Saccharomyces cerevisiae S288C: one gene and its partner. The gene in region 2 interacts genetically with the main gene of each other region. Each region holds a gene or a part of one and is shown on either strand. Other genes may lie near its edges.

What was found.
Region 1: mutations in GAG1 (region 2) and YMR155W together harm fitness more than expected from each alone (negative genetic interaction), as found in Saccharomyces cerevisiae (one large-scale study listed by BioGRID).

The regions. Positions count from the first base shown.
Region 1 is NC_001145.3:565,794-570,694, reverse strand, and holds YMR155W (uncharacterized protein), read right to left. Parts: upstream 2,145-4,901; coding exon 501-2,144; downstream 1-500. Other genes in the region: TPP1 (polynucleotide 3'-phosphatase), read left to right, coding at 1-395; RIM13 (Rim13p), read left to right, coding at 2,513-4,696; FG-nucleoporin NUP53, read right to left, coding at 4,833-4,901.
Region 2 is NC_001144.5:930,111-934,289, reverse strand, and holds GAG1 (Gag1p), read right to left. Parts: upstream 1,324-4,179; coding exon 637-1,323; downstream 1-636. Other genes in the region: BLS1 (Bls1p), read left to right, coding at 37-405; YLR406C-A (uncharacterized protein), read left to right, coding at 1,935-2,084; 60S ribosomal protein eL31 RPL31B, read left to right, coding at 2,535-2,591, 2,941-3,225; DUS4 (tRNA dihydrouridine synthase), read right to left, coding at 3,398-4,179. UniProt on the Saccharomyces cerevisiae protein: Deletion results in antifungal drug fluconazole-resistant phenotype.

The DNA.
Region 1 (4,901 bases), on a different chromosome or scaffold from region 2:
ATAAAATTTTGCTATTTTTAAAGGCAATCAAAAACGATGAGAGAGGAGAAACGTTATCACACAGGTTATGGCTATATGCAGCACCTAAAAGGCCGAAAACTTTTGCAGCAAATCATAGTAAGATCACATTCGCAAGCTTAGGTGAAAGTTATAACAATGATCCTAACATATTCGAAAAAGTTCGAAAACCAATGACAGGAATGGTAGAGTTTTTTAAAAGGGACCTGGAAAGTGCATACAGGGTTTCAGAACAAATTTCTCCCATCAAGTTGAATTGGATATATTATTGCGGTGACGCTGCTGGGAGGAAAAAGGACTTCAGTGATTCTGACATAAAGTTTGCTGAAAACTTGCACGTTGAATTCAAGTACCCTGAGGAAATATTTCACGGGTAGTCCGTTGTAAAATGTTGAATATATACCAGTATATAGTAATATTTCTTAAAATGTTCATTTGTGATGGTGAAAAAGAATATGAAAGCAATGTCAGGATGACACCGTCTACAGGGAATTTGCAGTTGCTCTTCTTCGATAGTACGTATATCCAATTATCCCCAAAACGAACAAAAGATTAAAAGCGGCACAATATTTCGTAACCATAAAAGTATAGCTGTAGCAAAGCACTCCCTTTTTACAGTTCCCATCATCATCTCCTGTATTTGCCTTGAAATCTCTACCTAATATATCGGTAAAAACACTCACTGAAAATACACCACCAGTCGTTAAAACACCCCACAGCGTACTATACCCATTTGTGCCAAATCTATCTGCTACTATGGAGGGGAAAGTACCAAATAGAACGCCAAAAGAATAACCGAAGATCGCTGAGCATACCGAAATATTCTTGAATGATTTGGAGGCTCTTAAAGAAGGATCTTCAATGCTGCTGAAGTCATGGGATATTTTATTCGATGCAAGAAATACCAAAAGCGATGCTATGACAATATTCCATAGTCTTTGAGCTTTGAATTTCTTGACCAAAAAATCTGATATAGGCCCAGATGATAATCTGCCGCAAAATGAAAGAAGAGACAGGAGAGTTACTTGTAATGATTGAATTTTTTCTGCATTAATTGGTAATTGATTTAAGGGTGGAGTAGAAACCTGGGCTTGTACCATAAACCCCACAGAATATATGTACATTAAACCCACGCCTTGTAGTATACCCAATACTATGTAGTAACCAATAAATGTTGAAGATTTTAAGCTTTGGAATACATGTAATCTCATACTTTTCTGTGCGCTATTCTCGCCCACTGTATTTTTGCTGGTATTCTCATCCTCGAAATCATACTTTGTGTGTGGGGAAGAAGGTGATAACAATGGTCGATTTGATAACTGTCTATCCTCAAGTGCAAAAAATTCTGACGTTTCCTGAAAATTGTCTGACAATGCATAAGTTTCATAGGTAGCAGGGGATGATGAACGCACAGGTGAACCTATATAGTCATTACTGTTCTCATATAACGGTACTATATTATCGTCTGTTTCCCTGCTTTTTTGAAGCTCCCATTCCTTAATGCTAGCATCATCTCCTTCTGCATTAGAGAATATATCTAATGAGAAATAGCCTACTAAAATCATGCAACCACACGCAACCATCAAGAAAATGAAGACATGCTCGATGTTCTCACCAAAAAGCTTTGAGCAAAGATATGAGAACACCATGCCCGATAAACCGTATAGGGACACAGGAAATGCCCCAGCTGTACCCCTGTGTTGAGGAAAATTTGTATTTGCACATTTCACAGAAGCGTAAAAACCTGAGACAGAACCATATCCAATGAGTACCAAACTTAACGATATGAGAAAAGTACTAGACCATTCGTGCTTATAGCATAAATTCAAAATCAAATACGCGATGAAAACACACATTGAACCAATTAGACAGGACAGTTTAGGACTTCGATCGACAACTATTCCTGCTAAAATTCCCATCAGTGAGCTTCCTATTGTTAAAGAGAAGGATAGCTTACTTGAGGCAGAAACAGGTATGTGGCACTTGCTCAGTAGCTGAGGAGCATAAAATGAGAAAAGATAAGGTGTTCCAGCACCAAGGGCAACCACGTTACCTCCCACAAAACTTTTGAGATGTCCAAAGTGATTTGTATTACCCATTTTACTATTTTGGTGTTTCTTTACCATGGCACTCTGTGAAACATTGGTTGCTGTTTATCGAGTATCTTTGAACCGCGCAGGATTTATTTACCTTATCTCCAGATCTTCGATATCGACCAAATGTAAATATATTTCTGTAGGAAATAGAGGAACAACATAAACTTGAGGAGAAGTGGTTTTTCATGGCTCAAGTTATGCTCTGAAATTTTAAAGAAAACATATATACTTCTTCTTTCTTGTATTCTTGCGGATATTTATCCCTTTTTGATTTTATGATACTACAGTTAAATGTTCTTTTAGTCGGCATAAACGGACCACAATAATCAACTCTAGACAACTTATTAAACGGTTACTCGACCATTTCAGTCGAAGACAAGAACCTTGTGGTATCAAAAATGAATGATTGGCATGAGTTCAATGCCGCGATAAAGTCAATATATTGTAATGCAGAAGGTGACTCAAGCAGTATAATTAATAGATTGGTTGGCTTGGCAATGAAAAGCGAAGATTCCACTTTTATTGAGGCCGTTTTAGTTTTGAAAGAAAATGTGTCGAAAGTAGATAAACAATTAAGATTTTTATGGCTTACTTCAACTATTAATTCAAGGTTTTATCCCCCTATACCTATCTCAGAAGCCTCACCGGTTTCTTGGAATAAAACCGAATATTGCGCACCTGGTACTGAAGAACTACAAAGGCGTTATCCAGGGAGAGCCAAGTTACAGAATGAAGAAGACTATTCAGGCGGAATAGAACAATGCCGAGATGTGCCAGATTGCTCATTAGTTGCTTCTCTAATTAATCTTAGGTCTAAGAACTTGAATCTCCCTCTAATTAAACAAATATCATCAACTAAATATCACGTCAATTTAAGTTTTAACGGAAGCAACAAAAGGCTAGTGACAGTAGATATTTCGCAGATCCCAACCTCAGTGGATGGCAAACAACTTTCTTTAAAGAGTAACGATATTTCGGACAAAATTGGAGAGCTTGCATTACTGCTTGTTTCTAAAGGAACATATTCCACGGATGGCTCAAATATTAGTATAGATACTTACCGCTTAAGTGGCTTCTTACCAGAGATAACACAAGTAAACAGCTATCCTTTCGAAAAATTATGGAAGTTTCACAAATCTAATTTATGTCTGATGGGCGCTGGCACCGGGAATCGTTCCAATGACATGATAAAGCCCCTAGTTGAGAACCATGATTACTCTATAATTGATATCACATATGATTCTAGGCTAGTAAAATTGCGAGATCCGAGGAACTCGGCACTAAATGTTGAAATCAGCTATGAACAGTATTTAAAAAATTTCAAACAACTTTATCTTAATTGGAACCAAGAAAAATTATTCAAACGTTCTCAGGTACTTCATTTTCGGTACGATACTTCACGCTACAATAAATTTTCTATCGTTGCAGATAAACCTTTATTTCACCTGGTAAACAATTCTAAAGTGACAGAGACGGTATGGTTATTGCTAGAATCCCATTTGCAAGATGAAGGCAGCCAAGAAAATCGGTCAGTTTCCTTTTTGAATGAGGCTCCCGAATGCATAATTTGTCCAATTGAACCTCCAGTAGAATGCGGTGGCAATCACATTGGACTTCAGCTGGTAAAGTTGAGATTAGATGCTGAGACTGAGAGGTTATTGTATTGTTATTCAACAACAAACAACAATTTCAGTATTCACTCTTTCTCAGTTGTGAAGGAAATATGTTTTCAAAGATTGAAAGATACAAAAAGTCTTTTTGCCAAAGTCCTTTTCTCTTTTCCTTATGAAATAGAGGGAAAAGCCTCATTTGATACTTGTAATTTTTTTCAAAATCCGACTTTTGAGTTGGAAGTTCACTCTGAACAAGATTATCAAGTACTTATGGACGCCGCATGTATCTCAACTAGCTCACATGATTTAATTAACATCCAAGTATATTACTTTAATGACTATGAATTGATAAAGCCAATAATGTTTGATAACCACTATCAGCCCGGGCAGGGCCTTAAACAAGACGTGCCCATCTTAACTAATGTCAAATATATGATTGTATGCTCAACTTACGGCCCTCCAGCCTCAACGGAATTTGAATTACTTGCCTCGATACGGTTATCCTCTTCATGGAGGTTAATATCTGGAATAACTTTACGGAGTGTTAACTTGATATACGGTACTTATCCATATCATTGTCGCAACAGGTTCCATTGGAAGGAAACTTCAGACAAACTTAAAATTCAGATGACTTTGCCAACCAAAAAGTATTCTACGAACAAACTTTTTATACGTGTAGTACCCGTGGAATCATCAGCACGATTAAGGATGCGATGTAATATTTTCGAGCCTGAATCAGCTCTCTGTGTTTATGAATGTCAAGAGTATAGGACATGTCCATCTGGGGGCATCGTTATACCTGATCTGGAAGTCTCTCGTACTAACATTGTTGTATTGATGATAGAAAGAAGTGTACCTATTTCCAGTTGTTTACCTACGGAAGGACAATTGGATGAATTGGAGTTGTTTGTTGGGTCCAGTCAAAAAATCAGAATTGAAAAATACTCCGATGATGTGATACCAAAATAACTGTGCTTTATCTCAAGAACTGTCTATCCATCCTTTTTACAATTCTACACACAAAATTATATAACCTTGAAGTAGGTGAACATCACAGGATGCTGGAATCGCACCAAAGCACTACATTTGGGGGTAAGGTTTTTCATTACAAATCATTCCATCCAAATAACCAATTATTCAATCTATTTAACCAACTTTTCTTACTCTTGCTCGC
Region 2 (4,179 bases):
CCCTCCCACATTTAATAAATGATCGACAATAAATAAATGTTCCTTACATTCTCAATGTGTGTGAACTGGATAATCGTAAAAATGCCAAACAGGTCTGAAGAACTTGACCGATTACTCGACAAAATAATCAACTCTCCGCATAGAACAGAAGCCTCGAAGACTTTGCAAGAAATTGAAAATAATCAATCATATATTTTAAATGTACAGTTGAAGAAGTTATTGCGACTTCATGACGACTCATTTAAAAATAAGTGTGTTTCTCCTATTAACTATATGTTGGAAAAGTACACTCCGTATATGGGGCATACCGAAGCATTACAAAAGGAAGCAGAGCTTGTGGATAGGGATCTCCGAATCCTTGAAATGACGTACCAACTGATAGAAAAGAATCGCAACTCGAAATAAAACGATAAATATATTCAATGTTTTTAAATTAGTACTATTATTATATGTTATTATTAATGGAATGAATCAATACGTATTTTATACAGAAATAAGATTTGAGAAAGAAGGGTAAGAAAAAAAAGAAGAATAAGTAAATGACGAAGTTCTTTAACTGAGTTAAAGTTGTGTAATGCAAATTTGAAGAAAGGAAAAGATGCTATAAGGCAAAACAAAAAGGACGTCGACACTCAGTCATGGCATGCCCTTGGCAGCATTAGCCCACTTTCTCGTTTCCGTCCAGCCTGCATTTATGACTTGTAAAGCATCTTCCAGATTTAGAGGCTCTCTCAATGGCTTATCATCTACCACCAGTTTCTTGTAAACTCGAGCATAATATTCCTGAGGTATAGCTTGGAAAATCTCCCTTCGAGTAACTCCGTCATTATTGGCGCTTTCACTTTGCTCAGTGGGTTGTGTCCAGAGTTGTCTTCTTCGTTTCCAGATTTTCTCAGCGTTACAAAACGGCGCCTTACTTTTCTGTGCTAATTTTATGCGTTCCTCCACTACGTTATAGTTTTCAAAGTTCTGCGTAGACTTCTTCGAATTCGATAGAGTATGCGAGGCGGTTGTGGTCGTGTTATTAGCAGAGCTAGATTCCTCACTCTCATCTGTGAGCTTCATCTCCAATGTACTATTGACACCTCCTCCTACCTGCGACATAGAAGCACCACTATCTCTGTCTATACCCTTGGAGGCTACGACGGCAGGCTGAGACACAGTAAACAGAGCCTCTATTTTTTCATCGCTTCCACTAGAGTCATCGATACTACTCAACGTTTCGTGGGTAATTTTCTTTAAAGTTTCTTTCCATTTTTGTAAAGTATGTGTTAAGGTATACTTAATATTCTTTTTTGGGGTCTTGGAAGTAGAAACAGTCATAATAAACCGTTAGCTTTTGAATACTGTATTTCTTTTACTAAACTGATCGTACAAAATTATTCGGGTTTTAACGACCTTAATGGACAAAAATATGTGACAAGCTATATTGAAGTACCAGCGGAAGAGTAGCTAAGCACTAGCGTTTGTTGTTAGAGTATTCCCTGTTTTTATAAATATTCCAAAGAATTATACAACACACTTTTTTGCGACCAAAGAATAAGCAGAAAAAAATAATAACTCCGATGGTTATTTCTATTGTTTACTAAAGTTCAATGCCTCTATCACTCATGCATCGTTTCATTTTAAAGTTGAAAAATGTTAGCAAGAAAAAAAAAGAAACGCGCGCTGATAGCATTACACACGGGTAGCAAGCAAACATGGTGTGGGGAAGGTGAGGGTAAAGAAGAAATCTACCAAGATCATGGTGCTGCACGTTTGCTGAGCCAAACAAAACCACTGTTGTCGGTAGAATTATCGAATTATCGATAATCTTCCATAAAGACTTTTTTACTAAGAGAGACTTCGTATCTCTTTTTCTTTTGATTCGGAATAAAACCCCGTTAGTACCATATAGGACGTTTACTTAAAGCCTTGCGCCATATCGCCGCCAGATGATACAAAAACCGATTTTATTATCCTCGTTTCTGTTTCTCTACATCCGTGCATTATTACATAGTATACATCCGTACATCCGTACATCCGTACATCTGTACACAAAAAAAATCACCTCATACAATTTTTTAGGAGTGCCGTTTAAATGAAGCGCAGCCAGATGCGACAAAAACTTAAAGGCGCGGCTCAGCCTAGATTACGTTCTTTTTCAGGTGATGGTGCCATTTCCGCCCTTCTCGTTAGAGCCGGAACGCAGATGAGCTGCCCTCTGGCGCCCGCGCTCCTCGCCTGGTAAGTTCACTACTAGGCTGGAAGTTGTATGGTGTCCTCTGGGATTGCAAGGGCACGCTAGTTGGATGTGCTCACAATTGGATTGGCACTTCAAATGCCAACTGGAAGGGCGCGAAACCGAGGGTAATGCGACAGAGGGCACTGACGTTGTTTCGTAACCTTGTAAGCTCTTTCTGATGGTAGTGCTTCATGTACATGTTTACTCTATTATTTGACCAGTCTCATTGTTGATAGGTTCCTTAGTTTTACATAGTCTTGGGTCTTAGTATATTTCAATTGCACGAGCAGATAATCCAAAGTACTTGAAAATGGCCGGTTTAAAAGACGTTGTCACTCGTGAATACACCATCAACTTGCACAAAAGAGTATGTCGAAATTAGCGTTGTCTTTACGTGGGAAATTATTGAAAGCCAACAAGCGATATTGTGGTGAAATACCAAGCGAAATCTATACGGGTGAAATTTCATTTTCCAATGATTGACCCCAGGTTTTAATTCGGAATATTAGAGGTTATTATATGGAATGCGTGATGCAAGGACTGGAAGGTTCTTCTTCGGTACTGCATTTCTCTGTGTTCTGCGATCGATATCCGTACCTCACGTTTACACTATAATGGCGCTTGGGCCGATGTTTTTGGCGTGATGCTTTAGTTCCACCTTCTTATAACAACTTTTTTTTTACTAACAGACCAATCTTGAATTGATATTAATATAGCTACATGGTGTCAGTTTCAAAAAGAGAGCTCCAAGAGCTGTGAAGGAAATCAAGAAATTCGCCAAATTACACATGGGTACTGAAGATGTCCGTCTAGCCCCAGAATTGAACCAAGCTATCTGGAAAAGAGGTGTTAAGGGTGTTGAATACAGATTGAGATTGAGAATCTCCAGAAAGAGAAACGAAGAAGAAGATGCCAAGAACCCATTGTTTTCCTACGTCGAACCAGTTTTGGTTGCCTCTGCTAAGGGTCTACAAACCGTTGTCGTTGAAGAAGATGCTTAAATTGTAAAAAAAAAAAAATAATGTCCATCTTATAAGCATTTTATTTCTTTTAGGTTATATTATTACACAAACAGAGCTGCTTTCGGGGTACGAGTATACGCTCTTGAATGATAGGAAAATATATACAATTTCAGTACCACAGTTTATTAGATTTTTGTAATTCAAAATTTATTCATTCTTGTCTCTCAACCACTGAGGCGCTCCTCTGCACACAGCTATTAGCTTTATAAGGAATTTCAACGCCCATGCCAAATCCATCCTCGCCGTAACGCTTGAACTCAAAGGTTTTATTAAACCAGTCGATCAGACTAATGTAATTTTTAAGATTCATCATTTTCTTTAACAGAGATTTCTTCAACTCCATATTTTCAAGCATACAGTACAGATGGTGCTGAGCCAATTGAAAAGGCAAGCCACCAAACTCTAGAGCCCAATAACAAAACTTCTCAATGCAGCCCCAAGGGCAGGTAGTATATCCAGCAAATAACGCTGGATTGCTTAACAACCCACGCACAGCCATGACACCATGTGCACCAGTGTATTTGGTGATTCTTTCCAAATCGGATAACTTAAAACAATCCCCATTCGCTATTACAGGCACATTTTTGTCGCTGATGTTCTCGATGATATATTTTATCGCATCCAGGTTAGCCGGCTGCGATGACCTAGTTCTACGTGTTCGGCCATGAATCGTAATCCAATCTACCCCAGCATCACATAGCTTTCTACATAACTCCACCGTCTCGTCCAATGCCTCATGTATTCTTATTTTCGTTTCAATTCTTAGTTTGTCGCCATACTTATCTTTCACAGCATGGACCATACTGCATAACAAATCTGAATTGTATATCAGAGCGCAACCTATGCCCTCTCGGATTTGTTCCTTTATAGGACAACCACAGTTAATACCAATACCATCACAGTATGGGGCAACCATTTCCACAAATTTTAGTA